Caenorhabditis elegans: one gene and its partner. The protein of the gene in region 1 interacts with the protein of each later gene in a pairwise test. Each region holds a gene or a part of one and is shown in the gene's direction. Other genes may lie near its edges. The genes, in order: trap-4 and sgt-1.

Evidence for each region.
Region 2: the proteins of trap-4 (region 1) and sgt-1 interact in a two-hybrid assay, tested with the Caenorhabditis elegans proteins (2 studies listed by BioGRID).

What each region holds. Positions count from the first base shown.
Region 1 is NC_003281.10:11,918,776-11,935,205, forward strand, and holds trap-4 (Translocon-associated protein subunit delta), read left to right. Parts: upstream 1-1,959; 5' UTR 1,960-1,965; coding exon 1,966-2,011; intron 2,012-2,145; coding exon 2,146-2,474; intron 2,475-2,526; coding exon 2,527-2,631; 3' UTR 2,632-2,812; downstream 2,813-16,430. Other genes in the region: ccf-1 (CCR4-NOT transcription complex subunit 7), read right to left, coding at 414-932, 985-1,269, 1,317-1,445; Y56A3A.22 (DUF1279 domain-containing protein), read left to right, coding at 2,922-3,386, 3,951-4,111, 4,747-4,912; nft-1 (Nitrilase homolog), read left to right, coding at 5,115-5,162, 6,220-6,315, 6,474-6,629, 6,676-6,831, 7,978-8,287, 9,887-10,111, 10,175-10,350, 10,403-10,558; dolk-1 (dolichol kinase), read right to left, coding at 11,114-11,312, 12,229-12,603, 13,982-14,077, 14,121-14,264, 14,778-14,863; Y56A3A.7 (Homeobox protein cut-like), read right to left, coding at 15,391-15,405.
Region 2 is NC_003280.10:4,888,592-4,905,619, reverse strand, and holds sgt-1 (SGTA homodimerization domain-containing protein), read left to right. Parts: upstream 1-1,823; 5' UTR 1,824-1,826; coding exon 1,827-1,983; intron 1,984-2,036; coding exon 2,037-2,725; intron 2,726-2,856; coding exon 2,857-3,024; 3' UTR 3,025-3,332; downstream 3,333-17,028. Other genes in the region: btbd-10 (BTB domain-containing protein), read right to left, coding at 234-352, 411-561; R05F9.9 (MSP domain-containing protein), read left to right, coding at 3,521-3,595, 3,647-3,730, 3,814-3,987, 4,307-4,498, 4,761-4,947, 5,253-5,283, 5,330-5,471; msp-32 (Major sperm protein 32), read right to left, coding at 6,432-6,791; msp-33 (Major sperm protein 33), read left to right, coding at 12,926-13,309; gst-9 (putative glutathione S-transferase 9), read right to left, coding at 12,135-12,622, 13,900-14,032; pgm-1 (phosphoglucomutase (alpha-D-glucose-1,6-bisphosphate-dependent)), read right to left, coding at 14,320-14,613, 14,665-15,550, 15,598-15,878, 15,932-16,177.

The sequences.
Region 1 (16,430 bases):
TTTCAGGCTCAAAAACCCTTATTTTAGTTGAAAATTTAAAGTTTCCGCGAGTAGATTTCGAAAATTTTTATTTTTTTGGGCATAGGGGAGGGAAAATGAAAATAAAAAGATACACGGGGCGCCCGATCTCGCCCAGCTTCTACTGCTGCTGAAAATTACAAATAAAAAAGATCGAACTTTCAGAGTAATGATCACCTATAAACAACTAAGCGTATAGTCATCAAGTATAGGGAGATATAATAACAAAGACAAATTATAGGGCGCGTGAAAACACAAAAAACTTGGGTGAGAGATGGGGAAGGGCACGAAACAGACAGCTAATTTACAATAACAGTGTAGACGGTTTTTGGTGGAAAAAGGAAGAAAAAAATAAAAGAAATAGACACATGAAAAATGACGGGAAAGAGATCTGTTCAGGCTTGTTGTGGAACTCCGATTAGGCCTTGTGGTGTCTCATCGCCTAGTCGAGAAGTTGATCCGGAGCTATGGAACAGCGAAAGCGAAGATCCAAGACCAAACATATGTCCACAGATCAATGGAGCAATCTGGTTCCAGTTGTCTCCGAAAAACTGCTTTTTGATCTTGAAAAACGTGGCGGCGGTCAGCAGTGCGTCGGATCCAGCTTGATGGCGAACTCCTTGTCGTTTCACGTCCAGCTGATCGGCGACCTCTTGAAGTCCTCCTTTCAGCTTTGCAGACGCGCAATTTGGAGTTCGGAGCAGGATTTTGATGTCGAAGCTGGTTGGGAAGAGAGTTTTGTGGCACATGAAGAACGTTGACTCTTCCTTAGGCAGATCTCCAAGTGTGATGCTTTTCAACAAATATCCAAAGTCGTAGCCGGAAGAGAACGTGAGCCATGTGATCCGTGGATCAGTGATGAGGCCTGACGTCGTCAAAAGTTCTCCGAATACTGCTGTCGGTATTCCATTGTTCTGGAAGAAAGAAATTATTATTAAAATATTGGAAAATCAATATTAAAAAAACCTGCAGCAATGTGAAGTCTATTCCGGCTTGCCGGAGCATTTCGACACTCTCATGCGAGAACATGTCTTCAGCGAAGGAGAAATTGAAATTGAACTGCCAAACATCGCCAGTCGGTGGTAGCTCTCCTTTGTCATTGACCATTGCAAAGCCCACTTGTATTAATTTCAGCATATTCACATTACAGAACACTTGCTGATAATTGAAATCTTCCTTGCTTCGAAATGTGCCCAACGGTGTCGCCACAACTCCGGGAAATTCTGTGTCCATTGCCACGTAGGGATAATCCTGAAAAAAAACCGATTTTTTAAAAATATTCAAACGATCGGCTGTACCTCGACGAATCCTCGAATCCTCGCGAATTCCTCCTCCACGTTTGACATATATACGTTGTGAATCTTGACTTCTGGTGCTCCACTTGCTCCACCTGCTCCACCTGCTCCACCACTGCTACTAGAAGCCATTTTTATGATATCTGGAACTAGAATTTTCGTTTTAGAGTGAACGCTTTTATTTTCGATTTTTTTAAACGAATTTATGGGACAGAAATCGAAAATAGCTTATAAAATAAATAAAATAATTTTTCCGCAAACTTTTAAAGCAGAAAAACGGGAGAAAAAGTCAGTTTGCAAAAGTTTTGAAGCGCAAAAGAAGTTCTTGAACGATCGATTTTGGATCGGCATTAAAGGCGCATGGAGTTTCCCAGCGGTGTGGGTCTCGCAGCGAACGGGAGAGAACTGCAAACTGGCTAGCTGCCAAGTGAGTTTGTTTTACGTGAAACTGTCGAGAAAACATCGTTTTAGTGAATTAAAATGTGTTTTTAATGAATTTTTCACTTATTTTCTTGATTTTTACCCTAAAAACATGAATTTTGTGCGTTAAAATGATGCAAATTCGAGTAAAATACGTATAGAATGCCTATTTTACTCATTTTACAAGATAATTCTTCAAAACACGAATTTAATTACTTTTTTGCAGGTAATAATGCTGAAGATCGCCGTCGCCCTTTGCCTTGTCGCTTCCGCTCTTTGTAAGTTGGAAAAATTAATAAATTCCCACACAAATTATTCAAATGTGTGGCTTGTATAAAAATAAGGCTCGATTTTTCGAATTTTAAGCGTAGATTGTTAACATTTAATACAAATAAAACAATAAATATTCCAGGCGCCAAGTGCGAGTCGCCAAAGTACTCGGCCTCGTCATTCTCCACTACCGACGGATTCTTCCACTACAAAACCACCTTCATCACCGAGTTCACACTTCAATGCAGCAACAACCCGAAGAATATCCAATACACTGCTGAAGTAAACGGTCGCCTTATCCCAGTCTCGATTTCCGACGAGACCGCCAAGTTCCAAGTCTCATGGACTCTTGAGCACAAGGACGCCGGAGCTCAAACCTTTAATATTAACATTTTCGACGAGGAGGGAGCCGCTCAATACGCCAAGAACCCTGTCACCAAGCCACTCTTCACCGTTCAACAAAGCCATGGGGTGAGAATTGCATCATTTTCACATAATTATCTTTAAAAATCATTTTTTGCAGGGTCTCGCCACGAAGTCTCCAATCTCTTCCGAGACTGTCGCCGTCATCATCGTCGTCATTGGCCTTTACTACGCCATTCGTCAAAAGACCGAACTTGTCCACTAAATATCATTGTTTTTATCCCCAAATTACTGGTCAACGCACGTTTGCGTGCTGGGTTTTTGTTCTTTTTGTTTTTATTTATATATACAAAATGTAATTTATTGATTTTTGCCCCTTTTTCCACCCCATTCGTGTATTTATAAGTTCAGTAGCCCCCAAATAGCCATAAATTGAAATTTAATTGCTAGACTGACGTAAAAAAAAGTTTAAAGAGTTGAGAGTGTAAATCCCCGGGAAACTTACTTTAGATAATTTTAAGACCCCCTTTAGGCCAAAATTTTCATTCAGGCAAAATGCTTTTGGCTCGATCCATAATCCGATGCTCGCGGAGCATCTGTTGTGCTCAATTCCAGACCCCATCAAGCTCACGATTCCTGCACACAAGTCGACAACTCCACGAGAAAGAGCCCACTCCGAAGAAGCCAGACGATCAAAAATGGAAAATGTTCAGAATGACAATGTCTGAGGAGCAAAAACTCGCAAAAACGGCGAAAATCGAGCAAATGAAGGCGGAAGAAGCGCCGAAAACGTTGTTCGCAAAAGTGAAATATTATTTTAAAAGATATTGGTATATCGCTGTGCCGGCTCACGCGGCATCGTGTACAGCATGGTTTATCGCATTGTATTTGGTGGTTAAAAGTGGAGTTGATGTGATTTCATTGCTCGAATGGCTTCATATGCCGGATGCTATCGTTGAAAAGGTCAAAAATACGCCCGAAACCGCCGGAGTTGTGGTGGTTTCGCTGATTTTGTACAAGGTTCGGAGGATTTTCAGATGTTTTTTCGAAAACTTTAATTAAATAACAATTTGTTTGGAAAAAACACAGATTTTCTCGGAAGAAACCCAATTTTTTTGTATAAAAAGCACGATTTTTTAGACAAAAACCATGTTTTGTAAAGAAATCAATTTTATTGAAAAAACTAATTTTTTAAAGAAAAAAGGAACAAAAAGGGAAGCCCTGGTTATTACACAGACGCGAAATTCTTCAATGTTAAAAAGGTGTGCGCCTTTAAAGAGTACTGTAGTTTCAAACTTTGTGGAGTTTCATCGATTTTTTAATATTTCTCACGAAGAACAAAGAAAATTACAACAAGTAAAACTACAGTAATCTTTAAAGGCGCACATCTTTTTTACATTGAAGAAAAAATGTTATCGTGTCGAGACCAATTACAGTATTTTTGTATATGTAATACTACAAAAGACGTGGAAATGTTGCCAAAAAATTACGAATTTTAGCAGAATTTAACCAGAAAAATAATTTTTTTTTCCAAAAAAATGTATTTTTTCGCGTATGTGTAATAATAAAAATTTAAATTTTCAGATCGCAATGCCATTCCGCTACATGACGACACTTTTGCTCATTCAAGCCACTTTCTGGACTCTCCGAAGATTGGGAAAACTGAAGACCGCTCGAGAAGTCGAGTACAAGGTCCGAAGTGAATATGAGCTGAATAAGGCACATTACGGACGACGCTGGTATCGGTGAGCATTTTTTTTAGGGGAAAAATCCATTTTTTGACAAAAAAAACACATTTTTGTGGCTAAATTCTTCTAAAATTCCCAATTTTGGCAAAATTTCCATGTCGAATTTCACCGATTTTATGCCAATTTTGGTCGAAATAGAGCCTTAATAATCCTAAAAACGCGTAAAAATGACCAAAATCGAGCCCTAAAGCAGCATCGCACAGAAAAAGAGGCGGAGCGTAATTTCGCAACCCTGCGGCACGGTTTTTTCCTCATTTTTAAAAAAAGGTTTTTTTTTTCAATAAAATTTCGATTTTACTAGTTTTATTCACATTTTTCGAAAAAAGTGAATAAAACTAGTGAAATCGAAATTTTATTGGAAAAGATCAATTTTTCAAAAAGGAGGAAAAAATCGTGCCGCAGGGTTGCAAAAATACGCTCCGCATCTTTTTCTGTGCGGCGCTGCTTTAAAGCTCGATTTTGGTAGTTTTTACGCGTTTTTAAGCCTATATAGGCTCTATTTTGATCGAAATTGGCACAAAAATCAGTAAAATTCAAGGAAAAAGTGACAGAAATTGAAGATTTTGGCTAAAAATCCAATTTTTCGGGCTATTTTTCACTGAAAAACCCCCAAAATTTTCCATATTTTCCAGCTATCGCCACCTTGGAGTTCGAAGTGTGAGCCGTAAGAACAGTGTTCACGCGACAACTGCTCATATTGGACAAGTTCAACGATTACAGAAGGAGCATGAGAAGCTCAATGAGCCGACGACGACGAAACTCCATGATAATAATAATAATAAAAAGAAGGATGATTAATCTAATTAGATATTATTTTTCAGTGTTTTTTAGACTGTTTTTTCTTCTGTTAGGGTGCTTCCGAGTGTGTATAAATTGATTTTTCCCCCCGAAAAATTTGGCTTTAACTTTTTATTCATAAATCTGGTCATTTTCCCTAATTATTATTGCCAAAAAACACTAGAAAATTAATTTTCAATTGATTTCCTTGTTATACAGCCGCATGCTGAGCACAGTTTTTCGGCGAACAATGGCGACTGGACGGCATTTTGTAAGATTTTCGGGGGTTTTTTTTCCAGAAATTTCTGGGTCTCGACACGACAAATTAGAAAAAAAATTTTTTTTTTAATCGAGTTGTTTTGAAAAAAACTATGAAAAATCGATTTAAAAAATTCCGAAAGTTTGAAGCTACAGTACCACTCTTTAAAGGCGCATTATTAAAAAAACATGTAGCAAAAATTTTCGTGGTGAGACCTGCAGGTAATTTGCCGCTTTTGAACATTTCCGGCAAATTGGCAAATTGCTGGAAATTAAAATTTCTGGCAAATCAGCAAACCGGCAATTTGGCGGCAATGAAAATTTCTGGCAAATTCACAAATTGCCGGAACTAAAAAATTCCGGCAAATTGGCAAGTTGCCGCTTTTGAACATTTCCGGCAAATCGACAAACCGGCAATTTGTCGAAAATGAAAATTTCCGGCAAATTGGCAAGTTGCCGTTATGGAGCATTTCCGGCAAATTGACAAATTTAGTACTGTAGTTTTAAACTTTTTTATCGATTTGTTTAAAAACTATGAAAAGTCGATAAAAATTCCGAAAAAAACGAAAGTTTGAAGCTACAGTACCTCTCTTTAAAGGCGCACCCCTCAACGAAAAATTGTCGTGTCGAGACCCGCCGGGTACCGTAATTTTCGCGCAAAATACGAAATTTTAGTTAAATTTGGATTTTATAAACTTTTTTATCAAAATTGGGATAGTTTTAAATGGTATTTTTGAAAAAAAATATTTTTCCAATTTTTCAGTTTTTTCTGCGAATTTTTCACGGGGTTCTGGCCTTCCTCATTGATTTTTTCGCGCTCCATTGATAATCGCCTGCAGGACTCCACACGGACAAATACATTTAGTTTTACAATCGAGTCGCGACGCGACACGCAACGCGCCGTAAATCTACCCCAGATATGACCGAGCCAAAATGGCCTAGTTCAGCAAAACTGTTCCATTTCAATTTATGAGGGAAGCCAGAAATCCGCGTTTCCCAAAATTCGGTCGTTTCGAGACCCAAAAAAATAAGTTTTTTTCCAAATTTTTGCGAACCAAGAATATTTTCAGATCGCAGTATGTCAAATGACAAGCGACAACGATCTGGAAAAGAACTTTCAAGCCGCGAAAAATATGATCGAAAGAGCCGGAGAAAAGAAGTGCGAGGTAAAAATTCTACGGCTCCCGGAGCAAAGCTGCCGTCGAAAAAACGGGAATTTTTGGATTAAAAATAGGAAAAAAAAATTTCGAAAATTCCGAAAAATGTGGCAATTTTAATCATAAATCGAATAATTTTTAAAATCATGTAAAAAAAATGTTTCCAGATGGTTTTCCTACCAGAATGCTTCGATTTCATTGGGCTCAACAAAAATGAGCAAATCGATTTGGCGATGGCTACGGACTGTGAATATATGGAAAAATATCGGGAGTTGGCGAGAAAACACAATATTTGGCTTTCACTAGGAGGCCTTCATCACAAGGTTAATACTTGAAAAAATTAATAATGGCTGAACTTCAGAAGTTTAGGATCCATCAGACGCTGCTCATCCATGGAACACCCATCTGATCATAGATTCCGATGGAGTAACTCGTGCTGAGTACAACAAGCTTCACCTCTTCGATTTGGAGATTCCTGGAAAAGTACGATTGATGGAGAGCGAGTTCAGCAAGGCTGGCACTGAGGTTTTTTTTAAGTTTTCAATTCCGGCAATTTGCCGATTTGCCAGAAATTTTCAATTCCGGCAATTTGACCAATTTTCCGGAAATTTTCAATTCCGCAATTTGGCCAATTTGCCGGAAATTTTCAATTCCGGCAATTTGTCGATTGGCCATGAATTTTCAATTCCGGCAATTTGTCGATTTGCCAGAAATTTTCAATTCCGACAATTTGCCGATTTGCCAGAAATTTTCAATTCCGGCAATTTGTCGATTTGCCAGAAATGTTCAATTCCGACAATTTGCCGATTTGCCAGAAATTTTCAATTCCGGCAATTTGGCCAATTTGCCGGAAAGTTTCAATTCCGACAATTTGTCGATTTGCCATAAATTTTCAATTCCGGCAATTTGTCGATTTGCCAGAAATTCTCAATTTCGACAATTTGGCCAATTTGCCAGAAATTTTCAATTCCGGCAATTTGTCGATTTGCCAGAAATTCTCAATTCCGGCAATTTGGCCAATTTGCCGGAAATTTTCAATTCCGACAATTTGTGGATTTTCCAGAAATTTTCAATTCCGGCAATTTAGCCAATTTGTCAGAAATTTTCAATTCCGGCAATTTGGCCAATTTTCCAGAAATTTTCAATTCCGGCAATTTGTTAATTTGCCGGAAATTCTCAATTCCGGCAATTTAGCCAATTTGTCAGAAATTTTCAATTCCGGCAATTTGGCCAATTTGCCAGAAATTTTCAATTCCGGCAATTTGTTAATTTGCCGGAAATTTTCAATTCCGACAATTTGTCGATTTGCCAGAAATTTTCAATTCCGGCAATTTGCCGATTTGCCAGAAATTTTCAATTCCGGCAATTTGTCGATTTGCCAGAAATTTTCAATTCCGACAATTTGCCGATTTGCCAGAAATTTTCAATTCCGGCAATTTGTTAATTTGCCGGAAATTTTCAATTCCGACAATTTGTCGATTTGCCAGAAATTTTCAATTCCGGCAATTTGCCGATTTGCCAGAAATTTTCAATTCCGGCAATTTGCCGATTTGCCAGAAATTTTCAATTCCGGCAATTTGCCGATTTGCCAGAAATTTTCAATTCCGGCAATTTGTCGATTTGCCAGAAATCTTCGATTCCGGCAATTTGTCTGTCTACTCCGAGTTCCAGATGATTCCTCCAGTTGACACCCCTATCGGACGTCTCGGACTCTCAATTTGCTACGACGTTCGCTTCCCAGAGCTGTCCTTGTGGAACCGTAAACGCGGCGCCCAACTGCTCTCATTTCCAAGTGCATTCACACTGAATACAGGTCTTGCTCACTGGGAAACTCTGCTTCGTGCCCGGGCAATCGAGAATCAGTGCTATGTGGTGGCGGCTGCTCAAACTGGGGCCCACAATCCGAAACGACAGTCTTATGGGCATTCGATGGTTGTTGATCCGTGGGGCGCTGTTGTTGCACAGTGTTCCGAGAGAGTTGGTGCGGAATATTCTGAAAAACTTAAAACATTTTTTAAGTCTAAAATTTTTTAGAAAAGCCTAGAAAGTGCTAAATTTTCTAAAAGAAAATTGGAAAAAAAATTCTTAAAAAATTAGGAAAAAATCTAGAAAATTCTAAAAATTCTGGAAATTTGAAGAAATTCTAGAAATCTCTAGAATATTTAAAAATATATCTAAAAAATTCTAGAAAATTCAAAAAAAGTAAAAACCTTTTCAGGAATTAAAAAAAGGCTTTAAATTTCGAAAAATTTCTAGAATTTTCCTATAATTTTCTAAAATTCCGTTTTTTGTGCCATTGTTTTCAAATTTTTCAATGATTTGTATTACAGAAACACTAAATTCTGAGAATGCGTATTGCACAACATATTTGACGCGCAAAATATCTCGTAGCGAAAACTACAGTAATTCTTTAAATGACTACTGTAGCGCTTTTGTCGGTTTACGGGCTTCATTTTTGAAATGAATTTTCTCAATTTTCGCTTAATTAAGTACTCTAGCGATAAATCGATTCATTTAAAAAATTGAACCCGTAAATCGGCACAAGCACTACAGTAGTCATTTAAAGGATTACTGTAGTTTTCGCTTCGAGATATTTTGCGCGTCAAATATGTTGTGCAATACGTATTCTCAGAATTTAGGGTTCCTGTAATATGTAGAAATCATTGAAAAATAAAAAAAAATCTAAAATTTTATGGTTATTTTGGAATTTTTTTTTGAAAGTTCTAGAATTGAACGTTCTTTTAAAAAAAAAATTTATTATAAAAATAATCTAGAAAGTTCTAGAAAATTTCAGAAAAATCTGACATATTTCAATTCTTTAATGCTAAAAAAATTTTTCAAAACTTTCTCAAAAACTCTGAAATTTTTTAGAAAATTCTAAAAAAGATTTGAAAACTAGAGAATTTTAGAACATTGAAAAAAAAATTTTTTTTTGAAAAGTTTGTGAAATTTTTTTAATTCTAAAACATCTAGAAAATTTTAAAAAAAATTGAATTTTCTTAGACATATCTAGTAAATTCTAAAAAAATTCTGAAAAAATCTAGATAATTCTAGAATTGAAAAAAAAATTCTAATCCCTTTTAGAAAATTCTAGAAAATTCAAGAAAGGTCGGACCTTTTTTTTTAATTCTAAAAAATCTAGAAAATTCAAAAAAATTTTGAATTTTCTTAGAAATCTCTGGTAAATTCTTTGAAAAATTCTAAAAAATTCTATATAAATCAAAATTCTAGAATTAAAAAAATATATCTGGAAAATTCTAAAAAATTAGTAAATTCTAGAAAATTTAAGAAAAAAATTAGAAATTTTTTAGAAATGTCCGGAAAATTCTAAGAAATTCGAGAAGATTCTAGAATTAAAAAATAAATCTAAACAAATTTTAAACAAATTTAGAAAATTCTAGAAAATTTAAGAAAAGTCGGACCTTTTTTTGATTCTAAAAAATCTAGAAAACTCAAAAAAAAGTAGAAATTTCCAGAAAATTTTAAGAAATTCTAAAAATTCTTTAAAACATTAGACAAGCTTATTAATAGAAAAATTATCGATTTTTACTAAAATTAAACAAAAATCAATATTTTTCAGACATGTGCTTTGCTGAAATCGACTTGAGCTACGTGGACACTCTTCGTGAAATGCAACCAGTATTCTCCCACAGACGCTCCGATCTCTACACACTTCACATAAATGAAAAATCTTCTGAAACTGGTGGCCTGAAATTCGCCCGATTCAATATTCCAGCTGATCATATTTTCTACAGTACTCCGCACTCATTTGTATTTGTCAACTTGAAACCAGTCACTGATGGACGTTAGTGTGAAATTATTTATTTAAAAAAAAAATTAAAATTAAGCTAATTTCCCCCATTTTCAGACGTTCTTGTAAGCCCAAAACGAGTAGTCCCAAGATTGACCGACTTGACTGATGCTGAGACTGCCGACTTGTTCATCGTCGCGAAAAAGGTTCAAGCAATGCTGGAGAAGCATCATAATGTGACGTCGACGACGATTTGTGTGCAAGATGGGAAGGATGCTGGGCAGACTGTTCCAGTACGGGCTTTTTTCCGCAGCATTTTACCAATTTAATTTTGAACATTTTCAGCACGTTCACATTCATATCCTTCCCCGCCGCGCCGGAGACTTTGGCGATAACGAAATCTACCAAAAACTTGCGTCACATGATAAGGAGCCCGAGCGAAAGCCACGATCCAATGAACAGATGGCAGAAGAAGCGGTGGTGTATAGAAATCTTATGTAGAAACAATTGTGTGATTATTATATTTATGAATAAATAGATTATTATTATAATATTTTGAAATACAAGTACAGAGAAACGGGGAGAAAAGTGAAAAAAATCTACATGTTCGGAATGAATTACAAGCATATGAACCCGAAAGTGGTACTGCGATTTTGCGCTAAAAACTCGGAATTTTCATGGATTTTTCATCATAAAAATAAAAATCGATAAAAATCGACAGCAACGGAAATTTGAAATTACAGTGCTCATCACGTGGTGCCAGGCTGTCCCAACACGGTTTGATCTACAAAAAAATGCGGGAATTTTTTGCCCTTAAAAATGTGACGTCAACACGTTCTTAACCATGCGAAATCAGTTGAGAACTCTGCCGCATTTTTTGTAGATCTACGTAGATCAAGCCGAAATGAGTACTCATTTAAAGGCGCACCGCATTCAATGAAATATTTTGTTTCGTGTCGAGACCCGGTACCGTTCTTTCGGCGCCAAAATCCCAAAATTTCGCATATAGGTAATATATTAAACAATTAATTAGAAAATGTGATATCTAGCGGTTAGTCATAGAATAAGATAGGTGACGAGTGGAAGTATAAAATTATCCATTGAATTTATGAAAGCTTCAGCCAATGTGGCTACAAGAGATGCGATGATGATTGAAATTGTTGAAGATGAATCTTTGATGAAAAGATTTGTGGTTAGAAGGAATACCAGCATTGAGAAGAGCATTGCGATGGATCCTTCCAGCGATTTTTTACTTCTGAAATTTTTTTTTAAATTAAATTTTTTTAAAATGAAGTAATAGCGAAATTTGGATTTAAAATACTAATCAGGGGGTGGAAAATTGCCGGTTTGCGGATTTGCCGGAAATTTTCAAATCCGGCAACTTGTCGATTTGTCGGAAATTTTAGTTTTCGGAAAATTGCCGGTTTGCCGATTTGCTGGAAATGTTCAATTCCGGTAAATTGTCACTTTGCAGTGAATTTTCAATTCCGGCAACGGAAATTTTCATTTTCGACAAATTGCCGGTTTGCCGATCTGCCAGAAATTTTCATTTCCAGAAATTTGCCAATTTTTCAGAAGTTTTCAATTCCGGCAAACTTGTCGATTTGCCGGAAATTTTTATTTTCGGCAAATTGCCCATTTGCCGGAATTGTTCAATTGTTCAATGTTCAAAAAAAAATTTTGTCGACAAACTGCCGATTTGCCGGAAATTTTCGTTTTTTATCTTGATTTTCAATTTTTTTTGTTGTTGTTGCGAGTTTCAAATTTATGATTTACGCGATTTTTGCCCAAAAATACGGTCTCACCACGACAATTTTTGCTGTTTTTTTTGTAATGCGCCTTTAAAGAGTACTGTAATTTCAAACATTCGTTTCTCCGGAACTTTAATTGATTTTTCGAAAAAACTGTTTTTTAACAAAAAAAAATTAAATAAAAAAATTGATTTTTAAAGGCGCACATCCTTTTATATTTAGCAGAAAATTTTCGTGTCGAGACCCTTTTTCAGAGAAAATCGAATTTTTTTATTGAAGCATCGAAAAACTGTAAAAAATCTCGAAAAATGTACGAAAAAAGGCGGGAATTTATTTTGTTGAAAAATTGGCATTTTTCCAAAAAGTCAAAAATTTTCGATTTTTCGATTTTCGAAACGAATCAAAAATCGGCCTGCTTACCCCTTCCACTTGGTAACTCCAAATTTCGAGCCAACAATCGCCGCCATCGAATCCCCAACCCCTACTGCAGCTACCCCAGCAAAAATCGCAAGTGTCGGCTGAAAGCTTCCAACATCCCAGCAGGACACCATCAATGGAAGAAAGATCCCAACCAAGAGATAGATCGGAGTGAGCAGTAGCTCCGAGTCCTGAGCATCTTTAAAAATCAACAAATGCTCATTGAGCACACCACCCCATGGTGGGACATTCAAATAGCGGAGCAACTCGACGAGCGTGAAAATGCACAACCAGAGCCATGCGCAGAGCCACGAGAATAGAGGATCCAGGAGAATTCCAGAGATGTAGATGAGGGAGACGGTTAGATGGAAGAATTTTCTGAAAATTTGCGAACGTTTATAAATTTACATGCCCATCATGCCTATCATGCCTACCGTACCTACCATGCCCACCACACCTAACATGCCTACCATGCCTACGAAAATGTGACCGAATTTTAGAATAATTGCAACTTTTTCAACATCATTAACGAGCAAAAAATTAGCACAAAACAATAGGTAGGTATGGTAGGTATGGTAGGTATGGTAGGTATGGTAGGCATGGTAGGTACGGTAGGTAAGTAGTATAGAAGGTATTATAGGTATTATAGGTATAGTAGGTATTATAGGTATGGTAGGCATGGTAGGTACGGTAGGTAAGTAGGTATAGAAGGTATAGAAGGTATTATAGGTATTATAGGTATTATAGGTATAGTAGGTATTATAGGTATTATAGGTATAGTAGGTATTGTAGGTATTATAGGTATGGTAGGTAATATAGGTATTATAGGTATTATAGGTATAGTAGGTATTGTAGGTATTATAGGTATGGTAGGTATGGTAGGTATAGTAGGCATTATAGGTATTATAGGTATTATAGGTATGGTAGGTATGGTAGGCATGGTAGGTATAATAGGTATTATAGGTATCATAGGTATTATAGGTATTATAGGTGTTATAGGTATGGTAGGTATTATAGGTATGGTGGGTATTATAGATATTCTAGGTATGGTAGGTATGGTAGGTATTCTAGGTATGGTAGGTATGGTAGGTATGGTAGGTGTGGTAGGTATGGTAGGTATGGTAGGTATGGTAGGTATGGTAGGTACGGTAGGCATGGTAGGTATAGTAGGCATTATAGGTATTATAGGTATTATAGGCATGGTAGGTATAATAGGTATTATAGGTATCATAGGTATTATAGGTATGGTAGGTATGGTAGGTATAGTAGGTATGGTAGGTATGGTAGGTATAGTAGGCATGGTAGGTATTATAGGCATGGTAGGCATGGTATGCCGGAGACATTCTCGTTGGAGCGCGCCGTGTCATGTCGATTTACGAGAGTTTTCAATTTTAGTTTTTCCCGGTTTTTTTTCTGAAAACTTGCTTTTTCGTACGAATTTGAACATGTTATTATCCTAAAAATCGAGAAATTTCCTATTTTCAGTGAAAATTGCGAGAAATTTCGCGAGTTTTATGGCAATAAAATGGTCAATTGGCACGAAAACTCAAATTTTTAAGAAAACCCGAAAAAAAATGAAATCGAAAAATCTCGTAAATCCACATGACACAGCGCGCTCCATTGAGTGTCTCCGGCGCGATTTCAAGCTGAAATATAAAATCAGGGGGTTTTTTTCTAATTTTTCACATAGAAATTCGGAATCAGGGGTAAATTTGGAGTTAATAAAAAAAATTAATTTCCAAAAAAAATCCCCAACCTATGCACAGTACTACTTCTTCCAATCGATGAAACGTAGGCACAAAAAATCACTGAAATCGCGACATTTGCCAGCCAAAATGCCACCATATACACTCTGAAAATTATCGTTTTTTTTCAGAAAAACTTATTTTAAAAACCTATTCCAAGAGTCTTGTGGACCAATTACCATCCGGAATAATAGCTCAAAAGTCTCCGGAATCGATCGATTTACGAGACTTGAAAACGCGAAAATTGCAATGGAAATGACGACGGCGAATACTGCATTGATGATTATTGGGGAGCTGGAGATGAATTTTCTTATTATGCAGACGTGAAATTGTGCGATTTTCGCGGCGCCAAAAATACGGTATCGGGTCTCGACACGAAAAGTTTTTTTTTAAATTTTCACGGGGGGTTCTGGCCTTCCTCATTGAATTTATCGCGCTCCATTGACAATCGCCTGCAGGACTCCATACGAACAAATAAATATAGTTTTAAAATTAAAATCGAGCCGCGACGCGACACGCAACGCGCCGTAAACCTACCCCAGATATGGCCGAGCCAAAATGGCCTAGTTCGGCAAAAACTTTTCCATTTCAATTTATGAGGGAAGCCAGAGTACTGTAATTTCAGTTATTGGAATTTTTATCGATTTTTCGCCTATAAAACAACAATGAAAGATCAGAAGCTACAGTACTCTTTAAAGGCGCACGCCCTTTCGCATCTAACAAAAATTTGTAAATCGTGTCGAGACCGGGAATACCGTATTTTTGGCGCGAAAATTGCAAAATTCCGGTAATAATTGTTAAACTTACTGTCTGAGAATCCACGACGCTGCGACAATAACCAAAGTGGCGACCGTAGCCACCACGACAAGACTACCGTACTCATCGCCGAGCATTCTAAAGTGAGCCGGTTAATTCGTGAATTTTGCAACAAAAAAATCAGCGCCGCACGGAAAAGAGGCGGAGCCTAATTTCGCAACCATGCGGCACGGTTTTTCCTCTTTTTTTTAATTGATTTTATTTTGTAAAAAAAATATTGGCCAAAATCTTACAAGAAAATCGGAATTTTATTTGACAAATCAATTTTGAAAAAAACCGCGCTGCAGGCTTGCAAAATTACGCTCCGCCTCTTTTTCTGTGCGGCGCTAATTTTTTCGCAAAATTCTGGAAAAACTGAAAAATAAATAAACCATATATATTTTCGATGAGAATCATCTACATTTCGTGTGTGTAGATTCTAAAATTAATTTTTTTTCAAAATTTTTTATTAAATTAAATTAAATACAGATGATAAGTAGGAATAAAGTCATTTTAAAATGAAAGCTGTTCGTGAAAACTGAAAATTTTAACAATTTCAGCTGAAAGAAAAAAAAATTAAGAAAAAAAAAGTGTGTTCATGGAGAGGGTCGTGTTGTTCTGCGGATTAGGGTGTTGGTGTCTGGAAATTTTTTTTGATTAAATTCGATTTAAAAAATGCCAAGAAAAGGGCGGAGCTTATTATCGATTTTTCCGCACAGAAAAAGAGGCGGGACCTGGTTTTGCAGACCTGCGGCACGCGCCGGCCGTCGTGTAAAACATGCGCCGCAGGTTTGCAAAACCAGGCTCCGCCTATTTTTCTGTGCGACGCTGCAGAATATGATCGTTCTGCCACTCTAAATTACACGTGCCAGGATAAATCGATAATAGGCTCCGCCTCTTTCTTGGTTGTTTTGTAAAATTGTAATTGTATTCCACGTAATAATAAGATGACGTGGCATGATATATATATATATATATATATTCTGAATCTCTGCAAAAATTTATTCAAAGCGCAATGCCCCTGAGAAATCATATTTGACGCGCGCAAAATATCTCGTAGCGAAAACTACAGTAACCCTTTAAATGACTACTGTAGCGGTTGTGTCGATTTACGGGCTCATTTTTGAGGCCCCACCAAAACAGAATGCAGCTCAAAACAGGATTTACCAAAACAGGATTCACATAAACAGGGTGCAGTGGGCGGAGCGAATTCGCAACCAGCGCACGCTTATTTCGTAAGCCTCGCACGTGTGTTCTCTTGAAAAAATGCAACAATATCAAGGAAAAAACGTGCGCGAGGCTTGCGAATTCGCTCCGCCCACTGCATCCTGTTTATGTGAATCCTGTTTTGGTAAATCCTGTTTTGAGGTGCATTCTGTTTTGGTGGGGCCTCAAAATTAAGCCCGTAAATCAACACGAGCGCTACATTAATCTTATTTAAAGAATTACGGTAGTTTTCGCTACGAGATATTTTGCGCGTCAAAAATATGCTGTTTTCTCAGAATTTTGTGTTCCCATAATATCGTAAAGTCAAACTAATCAAATCTTCGTCAGTCACCCATACGTAGCACCTTGACAACCAATACACCTTCCAATTATATGACTAATCCCTCTCTCTCTCTCTCTCTCTCTCTCAGAAAAGCTTCAAACTCGGAGGGAGCCGGC
Region 2 (17,028 bases), on another chromosome or scaffold:
AAAAATTCTGCAGGAGCGAGAGATTGAAAATACTGTACTTTTTAAAGGCGCACACTTGTTTGTTATCTACGAAACACTGTCGTGTCGATACCGAGAACCGCATTTACGGGTGTGCGCCTTTAAAAATTACTGTAACTTAAAACTTTTGTGGTATTTTTATCGACTTTTCATGGTTTTTATGTCTTCATATCGTTTTTTTTTGATAATTTTTATTAAAAAAACAAATATATTACCTGCTGTGGTGCACGAACAGTTCTTGTTGATGACGTGCTGGCATGATCTTTGCGAGATCTCTCGCTCTTCAGACATCCACGACTTGAAGAGGAACCGTCAGTTTCAGCCCCGGTTTTGTCTGAAAAAAATAAATTATTGATTTTTATTCAATCTGAATGAAAAATTCGAATTCTTACCATCATTATCCAGTGAAACATCAGATTCGTCAGAAGTGTTATCGAAGAGTCGTCGCGCAGGAGCATCTGGCACATTAACGCCATTATTTGCTGGGTTTCCAAAATTTGAAGATGATGGAATGTCTTTGTTCTGTTCTTCCGATTGAGACATGTTGTAGAATGGTGGAAGACGAAGAAGATGATAAGAGTGACAGTTTAATTACTGAAAATGTGCGAAATTTTATATAGTTTTATTTATTTAGGAAACAGATAGTGAAAGTTTGGGAGGAGTTGAACAGTATAAAATAAGAATGACAGGCAGAATGGCTGGGTAAATATTATTCAAATACAAGTATTTTCAAAATTCCGCAAATTTGAACAAGTTTTCATTTAAAAAACACATTTCGAACGGAAAATTTGGGTAAAAGAAAGCTTGGAACATAGTGAAAAAGGACTTTGCGAACAAATAAATTAAAATTTGCTTGATTTCAATTTGTTTTTTTCATTTTTTACAGAAACAACAAATTTCACAGCAGCGTTCTCCTGACTATCACACTTTTTTTTTGAAACAAAAACGAATAAAACAAGCTTGAAATAAAACTTTTGGTACCCAGACGTCTCTGGCCCCAAAAAATTTAAGTTGACGGGTGTCGACAGAGGGAAATGAGTGGCTTTTGGAAGGAGACCTGGGGCCACCAGTCAGCTTCTCGCTTCTTTTTTTTTCTCTAGCACTCTCTCAACTTTACAATACACTCTACGCGCTGCTGCAACTTTTCTGTCAAGTTGTCTGCCGTCTCTTCAGTTGAACTTGGTTTACTTTCGTGGCGAGACACATCAAAGTGACGGCCGACATGTGCCTTTGAGGCTGATGAAATTATTCCCGCAATTTCCAGAAATTTTTGCACTGATTCTGAAATAAAATGACGTTGCAATCTTTAATTTTACTCTTCGTTGTTCAAAAACTTTTCAATTTTATTCTCGTTACAATATTTCACTCTTCATTGACCAAATTTCGCAAATAGAGCGCTTAAATTCAGATTTTAAGTTAAGCATTTAAAATTAATACTCTTTTTTTTTAATAATAATAATAATTTATTACGCTCGCTGGGAGACGTGAAGGAATATAGAATACAAAAGTTATCATTGTTCGCTCGAACTAGAATTGGTGCAGTCGGGCAATCGTTTCCATTCCATTAGAATGTTGTCCTTGTCCTTGCGTTGTCCTTGCGTAGACTCCCCCATAGTGGGCGAGCGATTCCCGAGTGAAAATAATCACGGAATGCCATTTTTAAGCGATGCCATTTTCTATTTCTTGAACTATATATTTTTAAGAATATTTTAATCTGCGCTTTATCATGGATTTTCAATTCAACTTTATATTACTTTTCTAACTTCAATATAAAATTATTTAATAAATATATTTTTATTTTTAAGAAAATGTCCGAGGAGATCAAGCCTTCTGCTCCAGATGCGCCGACTGCTTCGCCAATTGTGACCAGAGACGAGCAAAATTTGGTTGTCTCATTCCTTCAGTTTATCCGCCAGAAGGTTTCACAAAATCAGGCCACTGCCGAGCAAGCGGAAGCTCTTGAAGGTTTTTTCCTATTTATTTCTATAAATTTAGCTTAAGATATATTAAAATTTCAGTTGCAATTCAATGTCTCGAACACTCGTTTGGTCTTGATGATGCCTCATACGCTTTCCAACCATCACGCCCAATTCTCGAACTTTTCAAGAGCGCCGAAGGACTTCCAGAGGGAGAATCTGCTCTTCCAACACCGAGCGATAGTGATATTTCTCAAGCTAACAAGCTTAAAGAAGAAGGAAACGATTTAATGAAAGCCTCCCAATTTGAAGCTGCTGTTCAAAAGTACAATGCCGCCATCAAGCTCAACAGAGATCCAGTCTACTTCTGTAACCGCGCTGCTGCTTATTGCCGCCTGGAACAATATGATTTGGCCATCCAAGATTGTCGTACAGCTCTTGCCCTTGATCCATCTTACTCAAAAGCTTGGGGAAGAATGGGTCTTGCATATTCTTGCCAAAACAGATATGAGCATGCCGCTGAGGCATACAAGAAGGCTTTGGAGCTTGAACCAAATCAAGAGAGTTACAAGAATAATTTGAAAATTGCTGAAGACAAATTGAAGGAGCTGGAAAGCTCGCGACCGGCACCAGGTGCCAATCCATTGGCTGGGCTTTTGGGAGCCATGGGAGGAGGACCGGGAGGAATGCCGGCTATGCCAGGAATGCCAAACATGCAAAACCTTATGAACGAGCCAGGACTTATGCAAGCTGCTTCACAGATGATGAGCGATCCAGCACTTTCTGATATGGTAAGTATCAAATTTTCGGGAATAAAAGATTTAATTGAAATGGCAATGCACGTGGCCGTCAAAATTAATTGTTTTTCATTATTATTGCTTGTTTTTTGATGATGTATGCTCTAAAATATTGAATTTTTCAGTTCAACAACATGATGTCTGGAAATGGATCAATCGCTGATTTGATGGCTGCTGGCCAGCAAATGGCTGCTCGCATGCAAGAGACCAATCCAGAACTTATTGAAAATCTTCGACGCCAATTCGGCCCCGGAGCCGATGGAGGAGCACCACCACCAAACCCACCACAATAGATAATCTCTTCCGCCAATCTCCTTCCGCATCACGAATTTCCATTTCGTTATCTCTCTCTCTCTCTCTTTCCCCTTCTCTCGTCTTTACTTTCTGCTCTCATGTGATTTGAAAAAGCCGAAGTCGCTTATGGTTACTCGTTTTTTTTAGTTTCTCTCGCAGAATTTCCCCTTACAATGATGATGTTATAATCGCCCCCGATTCAAGCCTTATCGAAATATTGTTTTTAATTAGATGGTCATGTTTTAACTACCAACAAAAAATTGGGTCAATTTTCTTTTTTTTCACGAATAATAAATATTGTCGAAATATTCTTTCCATCACAGACACACTGGTTGCAAACGCGCTCCAACACGAAATTATCGATTTGCACCCAAACGAAAGATAGCGCGGGAGTACTCACATTTTCTTTATTTTTGATTTTTTTGTTGAAATATTTTAGTATTAAATTAAACAATTTAAATTGTAAAAAACCTCAAATTTGAAAATAAATTCAGAATGCAACGCCACGAAAGGATTCGATTTTTCATAACTGAACAATGTCGTAATCTGGATCCAACGTATAGAAATTATGTAGGAATTTAATTTTCTGTCAATCTAAATTCTTTTAAAAGTTATTTTCAGATGTACCCGAAACAAATTCTTCTCGGTGACGTTCCTCTACCACTTCTCCCTAATTCTTCACTGACGTTTCGAGTCAATTCAGCTGTAAGTAGAAAATTTATTGCGTGACGAGCATTATTGTGTTTTAAAAACTCTAAAAATGATCAAATAAATTTAATTTTTTTTAGGAAAAAATCTGCTTCCGTATTCGACTTTCGATTGATGACAGCCAGGAACCATTGAATATTGGAATTCCATTATCACAAGTTGAAAGTGTTTCAATTAAAGATCATAGTGCGAAACATCCAGAACCTGCTCTTCTTTTTTTACTTAAGAAAGGAGCTTTAGAGAGATTTATTCAGGTACACTATAATTTTTTCGATTTTCGCACGACAAATTTTTGTAAAATGAAAGAAGGTGTGCGCCTTTGAAAAGAGTACTGTAATTTCAAATTCTCGTTTATGCAGAATTTTTATCGATTTCCATAGATTTTCACTAACAACTTGTGTTTGAAAAAACACATGAACTCGTCAATTCACTGCAAAAAAATTCGAAAAAATTGAAGATTCCGTAGCAACGAAAGTTTGAAGTTACAGTATTATTTAAAGGCGCACACCAGTTTTCACTTAACGGACAATTTTCGTGTCGAGACCAGACCCCGTATAAAACGAATTATTTCAGGTCTGTAATCCACTATTGGGCGAACTTCACACATATCATGGACGAAAACGTAAAATGCTGACATATCTAACAGTAATTCTCGGAATGGATCCACACTTGGAGCAACCGAATCCAGTTTATTGCCGTGTTTCATTAATGGCTAACAAATTCACATTCCCATTTGGAACAGCGAAGAAAATTTTATTAAAAGATGTGAGTTTTGATTTACCGCGTTTTCTAAAAAAAACACCAACAAAAACGTTTTTTCCCGGGGAAAAAAGACGAAAAATGAGTTTTATTCATCTGAAAATACATGAAAAATTAGATTTTTTAAATTAAAGATTTCCCAAAAAAATTATCAGAAAATTTCCAATTTTTCCATAAGAAAACGCAAAGATGTATATTTTTCAACTAAAATATTGCGATTTTTCCAAGAAAAAAAACTATTAAAAATAAATACAATCCAATTTTCCAGTTACCAATAATGTGGCAAGAAGTCTTGGATAAACAATACGATCGTCGTCTGAAAACTGGAATTCATCATGATAGAGAACGAATGGCAGAGATGGATGATGAAGCATGGGATTGGCTTATGTCATTTCTAAATGTTAAATGGGACAAATGTCCCAGTGGTGGACGTTGGTTCGTTAGAGATAAGGATGGTACGTTTTTTTTTTGCTCCGAAAACATTAATAGCCAGTTGTGAAATTCGGTGATTTCGAATAAAAATACGGTACTCGGTCTCAACACGACTAGAACTTAAAAGCTACCGTACCCAGAAGTATTTTGCAATTTCCTAAAATGTGGCAATATTAATTTTTTCATAGAAATACCAAGTTTTTTTAGCACTATAAATCTTGAAAAATTTAAGGAAAAATTGTGGAATACTTGTGAGTTTTGTAGCTGCAAAGTTTCTTGAAAATCGAAAAATTAAAACTACCATAACTACAATGCAATCTAATTTCAGAACTCGAAACTTCAGTCAACGAGCATAATGAGTAAGTTTCCTATATTTTACAACTAAAATTAACTCTGAATTTCCAGAAATCTTGCAATCAAACGAGAAGCTTCACCACAAGATGATCTACTGGCTAAACCAATGAAGCAAATAAAATATTCCGATTCAGATGTTGGTTCTCCAAATTCTATATCTTCGGAATCTTCAGCTTCTATTATGACACGATAAAACACTCGTTTAAAAATCATTTGTTTTCAACCCCGCTAGAACACTTTTTACTATCAGTTTTCCATCTAATTCTTCACCAAAAAATCAAAAATCGATACTCACAGCTGCTCCTTTACAATTTCAGCCGTTGAGTTCTCATCATGACTGGAAATGTATCATTTGGCTGAGTCTATTCAGCGACATTAACCATTTCAACTTTTTTGGCATCAAATGTTTTATAATTTTATTCTTATTTTACTGCACTTTATTGTCATTAATGGCTCAATAAAAATGTTAATAATCAAGTTTTAAACACTGAGACATGCCAGGAGTAAACATTTTCAGATACAGTACCCACAAGAACGGTAGACTCGAAATTTGAATTTTTCAGAGGAAAACAGTAGTTTCACGAGCTGAAAACAAATTTTTTGTGTTGATAAAAGTCCAAAAGCATTTCTGTTCAGAAATTAATTCCAAAATTAATTTATCGTAGACTCAGAATCCGTTGTAGGAGTCTATGACTCCAGGCTCGTCTCTCGGACTCTGAATATCAAAAGACGAAGTGAAGAAGCTTATTGAGATGGAGGAGAAGCCGAAGGAACTTTGGAAGAACTCGTTTTGGCAATTTGCATTTCTATTAACTATTGAATAAATGATTATATGTACATAATATCAACTAGGACCCTTTGGGTCCTGCAAATCATATGGGCCTTCAAATGGCCTGAAATGCCGTATGGGACCATATTTAGCTTAAAAGCTGAAAGGTTCAATACAGAAAAAACAAGGAGATTTCGATTTATTGCACAAGAAGTCTATTAAAAACAAATTGAACTTTCTTATTAAGCCTTCTAAAGGTTGTATTCGATTTGGAGATCCACACAAGCTCCTTTAGGGACCAAAATTTAAAAGCTGAAAAGTTTAAGACACAAAAAACTGAACTTTCAAATTTCATTTATTGAACGTATTGCAAGTTCACAGATCCTATGGGTTGTACTCAATTGGGAGGTTCTTGCGACGGACCATACCGTCTCCTTGGAACCATTCCCGACGGAATTGCTTAGCAGCACCATCCGGGGTGTTGGTCCACTCAACAGTGATACGATCGTTGTTAGTGTCCTCCTGTCCAAAAGCGAAGGCATCGCAGGAAACTGCCAGAAGAACAGCTTCCTTTGGATCGAGCACTCCACATGGTGGATCAACTCCAAGTCTCTTCATATTGGTGGTCTTGATACCGTATCCAATACGGCGAGCCGAGGAGTTAATCACCTTGATGTGGTAGGTGTGCTTGTCGTCGTATGGTGCATTGAAGACGATCTTCGTACCCGGCTGGGTCTGGATCATACCTGTGCGGCATTCGGAATTTTTCGGCATAACGGCATAACGGCATATGCCGCCAAAAATTTTTTTCGGCATATCGGCATATGCCGATATGCCGTCCATTTTTCTTTTCGGCAAAACGGCATTTTCGGCATATGCCGTGAATTTTGAAATCGGCATTTCGGCATATGCCGCGCTCCAAAAACCAGCATTATGCCGGCATTCGGCATTCGGCATTTCGGCATTTTTAATTTAATTTAATTTAATTTATTACGATAGTAAAATATCGTGAGGTAGAAAAAAAAACACACATTAATAGATACAAACCATCACAAGTGGTTACATAAATAAATTACACAAATAAAACGAAACAAAAATAAAAAGAGATGAGAAGAAAATGATGGCTACATTGGAGAAGAAGCAAAAACAGAAATATCGATGTATAAATGGCAAGAATAAATGATGGATAGAAGTGAGGATAAGGTAACATTAGATCAGTGTTGCTTCATTGTGGGTAGTGTTCTGTTAACAAAAAAGTGTCTCCTAAGTTTAGATTTTCCTGTGCTCCAGATATATTTCTTTTTAGAACGAGTGTGGGTCTCTTGTTGCTCAAAAAACTCAGATGTTTTTAAGTCTACTTTACCAGTATTCATTCTGATTATTTGGATTCTGTCAATTATTTTACGTCTCGTGCTTAAGGTTTGGAAGTCGAATAGTTCGTTACGTTCCATGGCAGTTTTGTAATCTTTATCAGTTGGATTAATATATCTTTTTTTGATTCTACTATAAAGGCGCCTAGTGAATGCGTTTTGTACAGACTCTATTGCTTTCTCATCCGATTTTTTTGTCGGAGAAGACACTACTGTTCCATATTCTAAACGAGGGCGGATGAAAGTTTTGAATAAGAGAATCATTAGTTTCTTATTGGAGGTACTGTACTGGTTGAACATGTTGGCCAGTTGAAATTTAGCTAGATTGATACATTTCCTCCAATGCTCAGAGAAATCCAGCTTTTCAGAGATTAAAAATCCAAGGTCTCGGGTAATAGCTTTTCGCTCAATAGGGTAACCGTCTAGGTGGTATTTGAAATCTATTCTACGTTTTCCTACTGTGACGTGAACTGTCTTAGATTGGTTTAGAGTGAGTTTTGATCCCCTTGTCCAATCTACTACAGCATCTAGAGCAGACTGTAAATTGTTTTCGCTTTCAGTCTTAGGGGTCGATACATACAATTTCGTGTCATCTGCAAACTGCTTACATGCTACTTTTTCGGGTAATATTGATGATATATCATTAACATAGATACCAAACAAAAGTGGTGACAGAACTGCGCTTTGTGGGACGCCACAAGTGGCCAATTTTCTGGATGGCAGCGTTTGCCCAATTCTAACCCTAAAGCTTCTATTTGACAGAAATTCATTCAACCATATCAGTAAATTTTTGTTCATTCTTAAAGATACGAGTTTATCTAAAAGTAAGTCATGTGGGAGGCGGTCGAAAGCCTTGGAAAAGTCTAGGTATATGATATCGATTTGCTCACCGAGATCAATACTTTTAGTCCAATCATTCAAAGATTCTAACATATTAGTCACCGTTGATTTTCTGGGGCGGAATCCATGTTGATTTTGTGACCAAAATTTGTTATCTACTAGAAATAACTCAATTTTTGCTAATATACATCTTTCGTAAACTCTGCACAAGTGCGAGGTCAAGCTAATGGGTCTGAAGTCGGTTGGATTGTTAGCGTTAGTGATTTTTCCAAGAGGTATTACAATGGATTTGGTCCAAGCGTGCGGGACTTGCCCTCTCATCATGCTCAAGTTGAAAATCTGGGCCAGAACGCTACTGATGAGAGGCGATAGTATTTTTATAAACGTAAATGGGACCTGGTCGCTTGTTACAGAGCAAGACTTTTTCGAGGCCATGATCACTTTTAGAACTTCTGCATCAGTAACCCAGGGAATTGGTTGCTCTGATACAAAATCATCGGCTAGAGCAAAGTTCTTGTTATTTTGATTTGTATACTGAGCCTCAAAGTAGGATGCTAGAAGATTTGCTTTGTCTAGTTCAGAGACAATTTCATTTTCGTCATTATCTATCAGGGTTGGAACACTACAGTTTCGCGGGTTCAGAAGAGTTTTTGCGTGTTTACTAAACTTACTATTGCCCTTTTTTTTAATAACTTTACCTCCAGGTTACTTAGATACTTCCGCAACTTTTTTCTATATTTTCTCTCTAGGTAAATGTATTCTATAAAATCATTCATAGTTTTCGACATTATCGTTTTGCTGAATTGGTTTTTTACCATTTGTTCAAAAGACCTTAAATATTGAGGCACTGGTTTTGAAGTCTCTGGCATCGGCATAGTTGGGACTGCCTGCGAAAACATTGTTCTAATGTGGCCTAGAAAGCATTCATAAATATCGTTCACGTGGGAACGGGTATCAAATACCTTTCCCCACTCTATGTTTTCAAAGTATGTTGCACAGCAGGGCCAGTCCAGTTTCGAAAAATCTGGTATCATTTTCTTAGGGACAGATATATTTTGTAAGAGCTGTACCGTAAATTTAATGGTATTGTGGTCACTAGACCCTATTGGGGCCATGATGTTTAAATTGCTGATTACGGAATTAGAAAGAGCAACATCCAGAATTTTCGATTTGCGGGTTGGCATTTTGACACATTGTTCCAGATTATGGTTTTTGCACAGATCTACTAATAAAGAACCTAATTTAGTTTAGTCGTTGAGGCCCCAGTCGATACCTCCAATATTAAGATCTCCCACAACTACAACTTTGCCTTGATGTTCCACAAGGTCTTCAATTTTACTAATTAGTCTAACAGTATTTTGATAAGTGCAAGAAGGAGCACGATATATGTTTATGATTCTAAAGGGAACTATTGTTTTCCAGTTACAAAAAATCAACATGATTTGAATGTTTTCAATCAAACTTCCATGTTCTTTATATCATTACCAATATCTAACAAATAGTATTCGTCTGATTTTGGTATGTGGCGTAACACTGGCTTTTGACAAGATATTGAGTTGGGGTTATTGGTTAGATGTTTTTAGGTTTCTATAGGAGTACTTTAATGCGCCCAACTGCTATCAATCCCCCTCCATTTGAGCTGTATAGGGCATCTGCGAACTTTATTGGGAAACTAATATTGGCATACCAAAAAACCTATGTATCTACAATTTTATACTCACATTTCAAATTGAAGGATAAAGAGCAAAAAGTTGAAAAGTCGACCGTCCAAATGCTATGGGACACCCTGACTAGGAATCCGTCAGAAGGTGCTCATGCGACTTACATATTAGATCTATTTCATTCAATCTCATACAGTTACGGTTATAGCAGCTGACATCCGGCGGGTTGGTATTTTGACAGAAATTGTTAAGTGACGCACAACTTTAAAACTAGATGTTTTCATAAAACAAAGTTTGACAAGAAAAAAATTTCCACAAATTTTTCTACATTTTACAATTTGTTTCTTTGTCACGAAGTGGCCAGGAACATTTATACGATTTATACGAAATCTATACGAAATATTAAACCTTCAATAGAAGGGTAAGAATTGACAACATGTTTTCATAATGCATGCAATATTTTTTTGAAATCAAATTCTGGGTTGAAAAACTTTTTATACATGTTAAAACTATTCGCATTTTAAGTTTTCCATGCGAAAACTGCTCTGTGAAAAGTTTGAATTCGATTTTCAGAACATGCTTAAAATGTCAAACTTTGTGCTTCATTTTTAATTGTTTTCATAGAATCTCCTGGTCTATTTGTAACAAAAAACACATTGCAAAACGTAGAACACTTTATGGAAATTATTTTCTCATTAAACTTTGTTTCTTGAAAACATCTAGTTTCAAAGTTGTGAATCATTTAGAAATTCAAGTCAAAAACGGAACCACCGGATGTCAGCTGCTGTAATTTTTTTTGGAACAGAGTTGGATTATTTTTACAAAATAAAAAATGTAGAAAAAGTAATCGGCAACATTTTGTTAGTTTGGAATATTTTGCTAACTATTACAGTTTTTGAGTTACACGTGTTTGAACAACTCAAGCTAATCACCCACATACCGAAAACGAATAGAATATTGGCCGGCACTGTATGTAAGTCCGATGGGCACCTTCTGACGGATCATTAGTGAGATTTTCGAGAATTTCACACAAAATTCTCATTTTTTCGCAAAACATTAAATTTTCCAGTTTCAAAATAACATTTAATGGAGTACATTGGTAGTGTACTTTTTGTTTTTTATATCATGGAAATTACTGAAAACATGCAAAAAAATTCAAATATGTTAATGTACACGCGTTGAAACATATTGGTGCATTTTCAGACAATTTTCGATCCAAGCAAAAATTGTTGCAGAAATTTTCTAAATGCTTGAGCAAAAAGCTTCAGGAAATCTCAAATATGGAACAATCCGCGAAAAAACCTTACTATTTGCAAGATCTTTATGTTTCATCGGATACACGAAAATTATGAAAATATGGTTTTTGGCAAAAAAAAACCAAAGCCAAAAATGCAAAAAAAAAACGGCATAATGCCGACATAATGTCGGCATTATGCCGTTATGCCGGTCATTTTATTTTTCGGCATAACGGCATTTACGGCATATGCCGTGAAATTTGAAACCGGCATAACGGCATATGCCGCGCTCCAAAATCCGCTCCAAAATCCGGCATTATCGGCATATGCCGAATGCCGAATGCCGCACAGGTATGGTCTGGATGTCTCCTGGTGGGACGGATTGGGCCATGGCGATTTATTTGTAGAGTATGGAAACTCACAGTGAAGATTATGGTAAAACCTGCTCAATTTATAGCAAATTTCGCTCTTATCTCTGTCCTAGATCTAAACGTTGTATTTATTAATATTTCGTTTTAACAAAATGTTTTTAGTTTTGTTGCTATTAGAGATTGTTATGATATATACTCTGTTCTGACAGTAATGGTTGTCAATCTTAGAGTTCCTCAGAAATTTTTCTACTTCAGTCAATCTTTGTGTCTCTGAATCTCTGAAATTTTGATGTTGACTATAGTAACCCACTCACAAGGTTAGAAGAGAGAAGTTCCCACTATATAGTCAGATCAGATCTCTCATCGTTTCCCAAGAGTTATGTGCCTACTGCTCAAAAATGAGACCACAGAAATAGGCATGATTTAGGCACGATTACCTATTGATTTCCTATCCGTTTTAATTGTACATAAATCAATGAAATAACTTTTCAGACCGTGTAGTTTCAAATCAAAGATGTTGCTATTATATAATGGTTTATTTATTGTTTGATAGCTTGGTATATTTTACGAGGTAGATAAAAATGAACACTAAAATAAATAGTTCTATAATTTATCTAGATGTAACTGGTCTTTTTTCAATCCATTTTTTAACATTTGGAATACTATGAATTTTCTTCTGATGATCTTTCATCTCCAAGAATGTATCAAGAATTTTTCCATCTGCTTCCAAGAGATCAGCTGAATGTTGAGCAATGGCCAAATCCATCCAAGTTAAAGAATCTCCAACAAGGAAACCACTTCCACTGGATTTCAAAGATTCAGTGAAAATTGAGTACATTTTATTGAAAGCCGGAACGAATAAATCTTTGTAAAGTTGATCTACATCTCCATCGGAAAATCCCATTTTGGCCCTAAAGAATGGCCGTGCTTCAACACGATAATCCTTGAATTGGTCACCGAGAGCATCAACTTGAGCTTCTTCCCATGATGATTTTCCAGAAATTCCAAATTGTTTTGATAGATACCGAACAATTGTAATCGATTGTGCCAGTTGTCTTCCATCAACTTCTAGAACTGGAACTTGTCCAAATGGGGTCACTGAAAATTATATTAAGATAAGAAATATTTATGTTTCTGAGCACAGGATTTTTTGTTCGTTTAAAGAATGATTTTTGATAATTTTTGAAATTGTTGAATAAAAAAAAATTTTCAAGTGATCTCCTATTTTTCGATATTCTTTTGAAGATTTGAATAAAAGTTTCACGAATTTTCAAAAGTTCATTCAACTTTTCGAACATTATGTGACGTAAAGATCTAGGACAGTGATAAGGATTTGCATAAATAGAGAAGGTTTTGTCATAATCTTCACTGTGAGTTTTCTCACTCTACAAAGAAGTCGCCATGGCCCAATCCGTCCCACCAGGAGATATCCAGACCCAGCCGGGTACGAAGATCGTGTTCAATGCCCCGTACGACGACAAGCACACCTACCACATCAAGGTGATCAACTCATCTGCTCGCCGTATTGGATACGGTATCAAGACCACCAATATGAAGAGACTTGGAGTTGATCCACCATGTGGAGTTCTGGACCCAAAGGAAGCTGTTTTTCTGGCAGTTTCCTGCGATGCCTTCGCCTTTGGACAGGAGGACACTAACAACGATCGTATCACTGTTGAGTGGACCAACACTCCGGATGGTGCTGCTAAGCAATTCCGTCGGGAATGGTTCCAAGGAGACGGTATGGTTCGTCGTAAGAACCTCCCAATCGAGTACAACCCATAGGATTTGTGAACTTTCCAAAACTTCAATAAACTTTCATTGATAGCTCGTTTTTTGTTTTTTTTTACTTGAACATATTTTCAGAGATTTTCAAACGAGATAATATTGTCATGCTCGAAAAAAGAGCTTCCTTTCCACTCCTCGTTTGAGCATTTTCCTCTAGATCAGCTGGCTCGACACTACAATGTTTCTTCGATCATCTCTTTAAAAAAACCGAACTTTAATATTTCTGCAGGTTCTGCCAAAATGATTCCAAAAGAAGCCTGGAATTTTTGATTTTTTTTTTGCATTGCAAAGTTTTTTAAATTTCTGCAGTATCTGCCAAAATCCCCAATAATAAATATATATTTGAATTGTTATATTTTCGATTTTTTTCAGTAGAAAATCGAATTGAATTTATTTAATAATGTGGAAAAATCGAATAAAATTGTAAAATGGGTTACTGTACTGCTTAAAGGCACACCTTAATCTTTATGTGAGGATATTTTGTTCGTGGCGGGATACCACTTAAAAACTGAAGCATTTCGCTACATTGTAATTAATCAACTTTTTAAACTGAGGATTTCATTCTAAAATGCAACTTTTGAACTTACTATTTTTAATTTCTGCCCACTGCTCTTTAGAAATACGCTCATCAATAAATTCTTGGCCGGCAAAAGCGAAAACTTGACGAGCGATTTCTCCATTTCCACGAGATTGAAAATAAATTAGTTTATAGGAAACCATTTTTCAGAATAAAATGAAGAATTCGTCACAATCTGGCGCTTTTGAACCCTTCGCTCTCAGTGTCTGCGTTTCTCATTTCTCACTAAATCGACATCAGAAAACCACAAACATCAACTTTTTTTTCCAAAAACCAACATTGATGTATTTCACAATATTCTCATAAGTTTTCAAATTTTCATTCAACTTTTCGTTTACGTGCAACATAAAATTATATAAACCGAGGAAAATCTACACATAATTATTTAGCTAAACTCATGCAATATATAAATCATTTTTAAATACTAAAATTATGTGATAACAGTTGGAGCCTTGCGATTAGTGAACTGCTCCATTTTGCAAGTATCAAGTGCAATCAACACCAATGGTTTGAGCAATTCGTGAGCTGGAAGTAGAAGGCGAGAAGTGTCATTTGAAGGAATGTACGAATCAACGTAGAGACGGATGGTAGCACCGGCAGATCCTGTTCCAGAGAGTCGGAATACCAATCGAGATCCATCTTCGAAGACAATTCGGAGTCCTTGTTTGGTTGCAACTGAACCATCCACTGGATCAGTATATTGGAAATTGTCAGCGACAGCAACCTGGAAATAGTATTTTTTAGAAAAAATAAATCTTTTCGAACTTTCTCTCACCTTATATGTAACCCCATTTGCCGAGAAATCTCTTCCAACAAATGCTGGCAATTGAGCTTCAAGGAAAGTCATCAACAAGTTGGCACCAGCTGCATCCACATTCTCATAGTCGTAACGAGTGAACACATTTCTTCCATATTTCTGCCAATGCTTCGTCACAATTTCCTCGACGGATTCTTTTCGGTCTGCGAGAATTTGAAGCCATGCAAGAAGTGCCCAAACGCCATCCTTCTCACGAATGTGATCAGATCCAGTTCCGAATGATTCTTCTCCACAAATAGCAATTCTTCCAGCATCCATAAGATTTCCAAAGTACTTCCAACCGGTCGGTGTCTCATACACTTGAAGTCCCTTTGCCTTGGCAACCAAATCAACAGCTCCAGCAGTTGGCATTGAACGAGCAAAACCAGCAACCTTACGAGTCTTGAAATATGGAATATAATCAATGTTATCAGCAATAACAGCTAAAGAATCACTGGGGCAAACGAAGAAGCCATTCTTTCCAAGAATCATATTACGATCACCATCTCCATCAAATGCAGCTCCTAAATCGTGTTCTCCGGTGTGGAGGCGTTCAACAAGAGTTTTTGCGTAGGTGAGATTTGGATCTGGATGACCTCCACCGAAATCTGGCTTTGGAACAGTTCTCAAAAGATCAGAAGGATCAGCTCCAAGATGATCGACAAGAATTGTAGAGATGTATGGTCCAGTTGCTCCGTGCATCGAATCAAGTAAAACTCTGAGTTTGCGTCCAGTAAGTTCACCAGCGAGAAGGGATTTGATTTTTGGGAAATCAAAGATTTTCTGCATGAGGTTGATGTATTCGGTAACTGAATCAATGACGTCAACGACAAAGTGACCAACTCCCTCAATATCATATTCATATCTGAAAATTAATGTACATCAATGTAATCAAAATATTGATGTGTTTACCTTCCAACTTGTGTAAAATCGCATTCTAAATCCTTGGCAATCAAGTATTTATCGATTTTAGTTGTGATCTGATAAATGGCATCAGTGACTTGATCTGGAGCAGGTCCACCATTTTCGCAGTTGAATTTGATTCCAAAATCTCCCTTTGGACCTCCTGGATTGTGACTAGCAGTGAGAATTATTCCTCCATCAACAACACGACCTTCGTGTCCTTTTCTGATAAGATTCGAGAGAGCTGGCGTCGACAAGAAACCGTTTTGACCGACGATAAGACGGGAAAGCTGAAAAACTCAAATTTATAAAAAAATTACTAAAATTTCTCAATATTTCTTACCCCATTGGCTGCTGCAATTTTAATAATCACATTTGTGGCTTCCATCGAAAGAAACCGTCCATCTCCACCAACAACCAACTGAGAACCCTTCTTTTTCGATCCAAGACCAGCATCCAAAATTGCTTGAACAAAGTTTTCCGTGTAATTCTGCTGCTGGAATTCCGGAACCCGTTTGCGAAGACCAGATGTTCCGGGTTTCTGTCCTGCGAATGGTTTTGTGGGGGTTTCAACGACGGCGATTCCCATTTTAGGCTGAAAATAAATATTATAGATCAGAAAATAAAATGGACTGACTATGAGAAAAGAGAAAATAGTAAACAGAAAATGATCGCTTCGTATCTTATCACGAAAGTCAAGTGGTTGGTCAATGTTCAGTGATAGTAAACATAGAAAAATGAATAACTTTAGAAATGGGCCGACCTAAAATGTGCTCGAACTCTTCTGGGATAACTTTTGACCTCAAATGCAACTTTTAAATGGGGTTTTTAAAGTCCAGGTAGACAGACATGTTAAGAACACGAAGAATTTATTTATCTTCTGGTGGGTGGGCAGGAATAGTTCAGATTTCGCAGCGAAAAAAGAAAAGAAATGCCAGCTGCAGTTGTTGGCGCCAAAGGAGAGCACCCACACAAACAGAGAGTTCAGAGAAATAGAGAGCAACAAAATACGTGTAGAAATGGAACAACTGCTGCTGTTCATCAAAAAAGATAAAGAAAAATGAAAAGAAATCAATGAGCGAAAAAAAATTTATCTTCTTTATACTCTCTTTCGAAAATTCGAGACGCCCCCTATTGCTTATCAAGGTTTTCATCGCTACAAACTATTGAATATATTGTGTCGAACACAAAAACAACGAAATTTCGGGAAAAAGAACGATACAAATGGTGAATACCGCGCGCGCATTTCGAGTAATTTGTTTTTTTCAAACAAAATTTCAATAATGGTATGCGGTAATTAAAATCGCTGCGATACTGACAAACACTTTTTTCCTTCTGTGCCTTTAAACCGACCGTAATTAATAAAAAACTTTTTTTTGATAGTAACCGAATGAAATTTGGAGAAAATATTGATAAGTATTTAAGAAAAACTCAACTTTT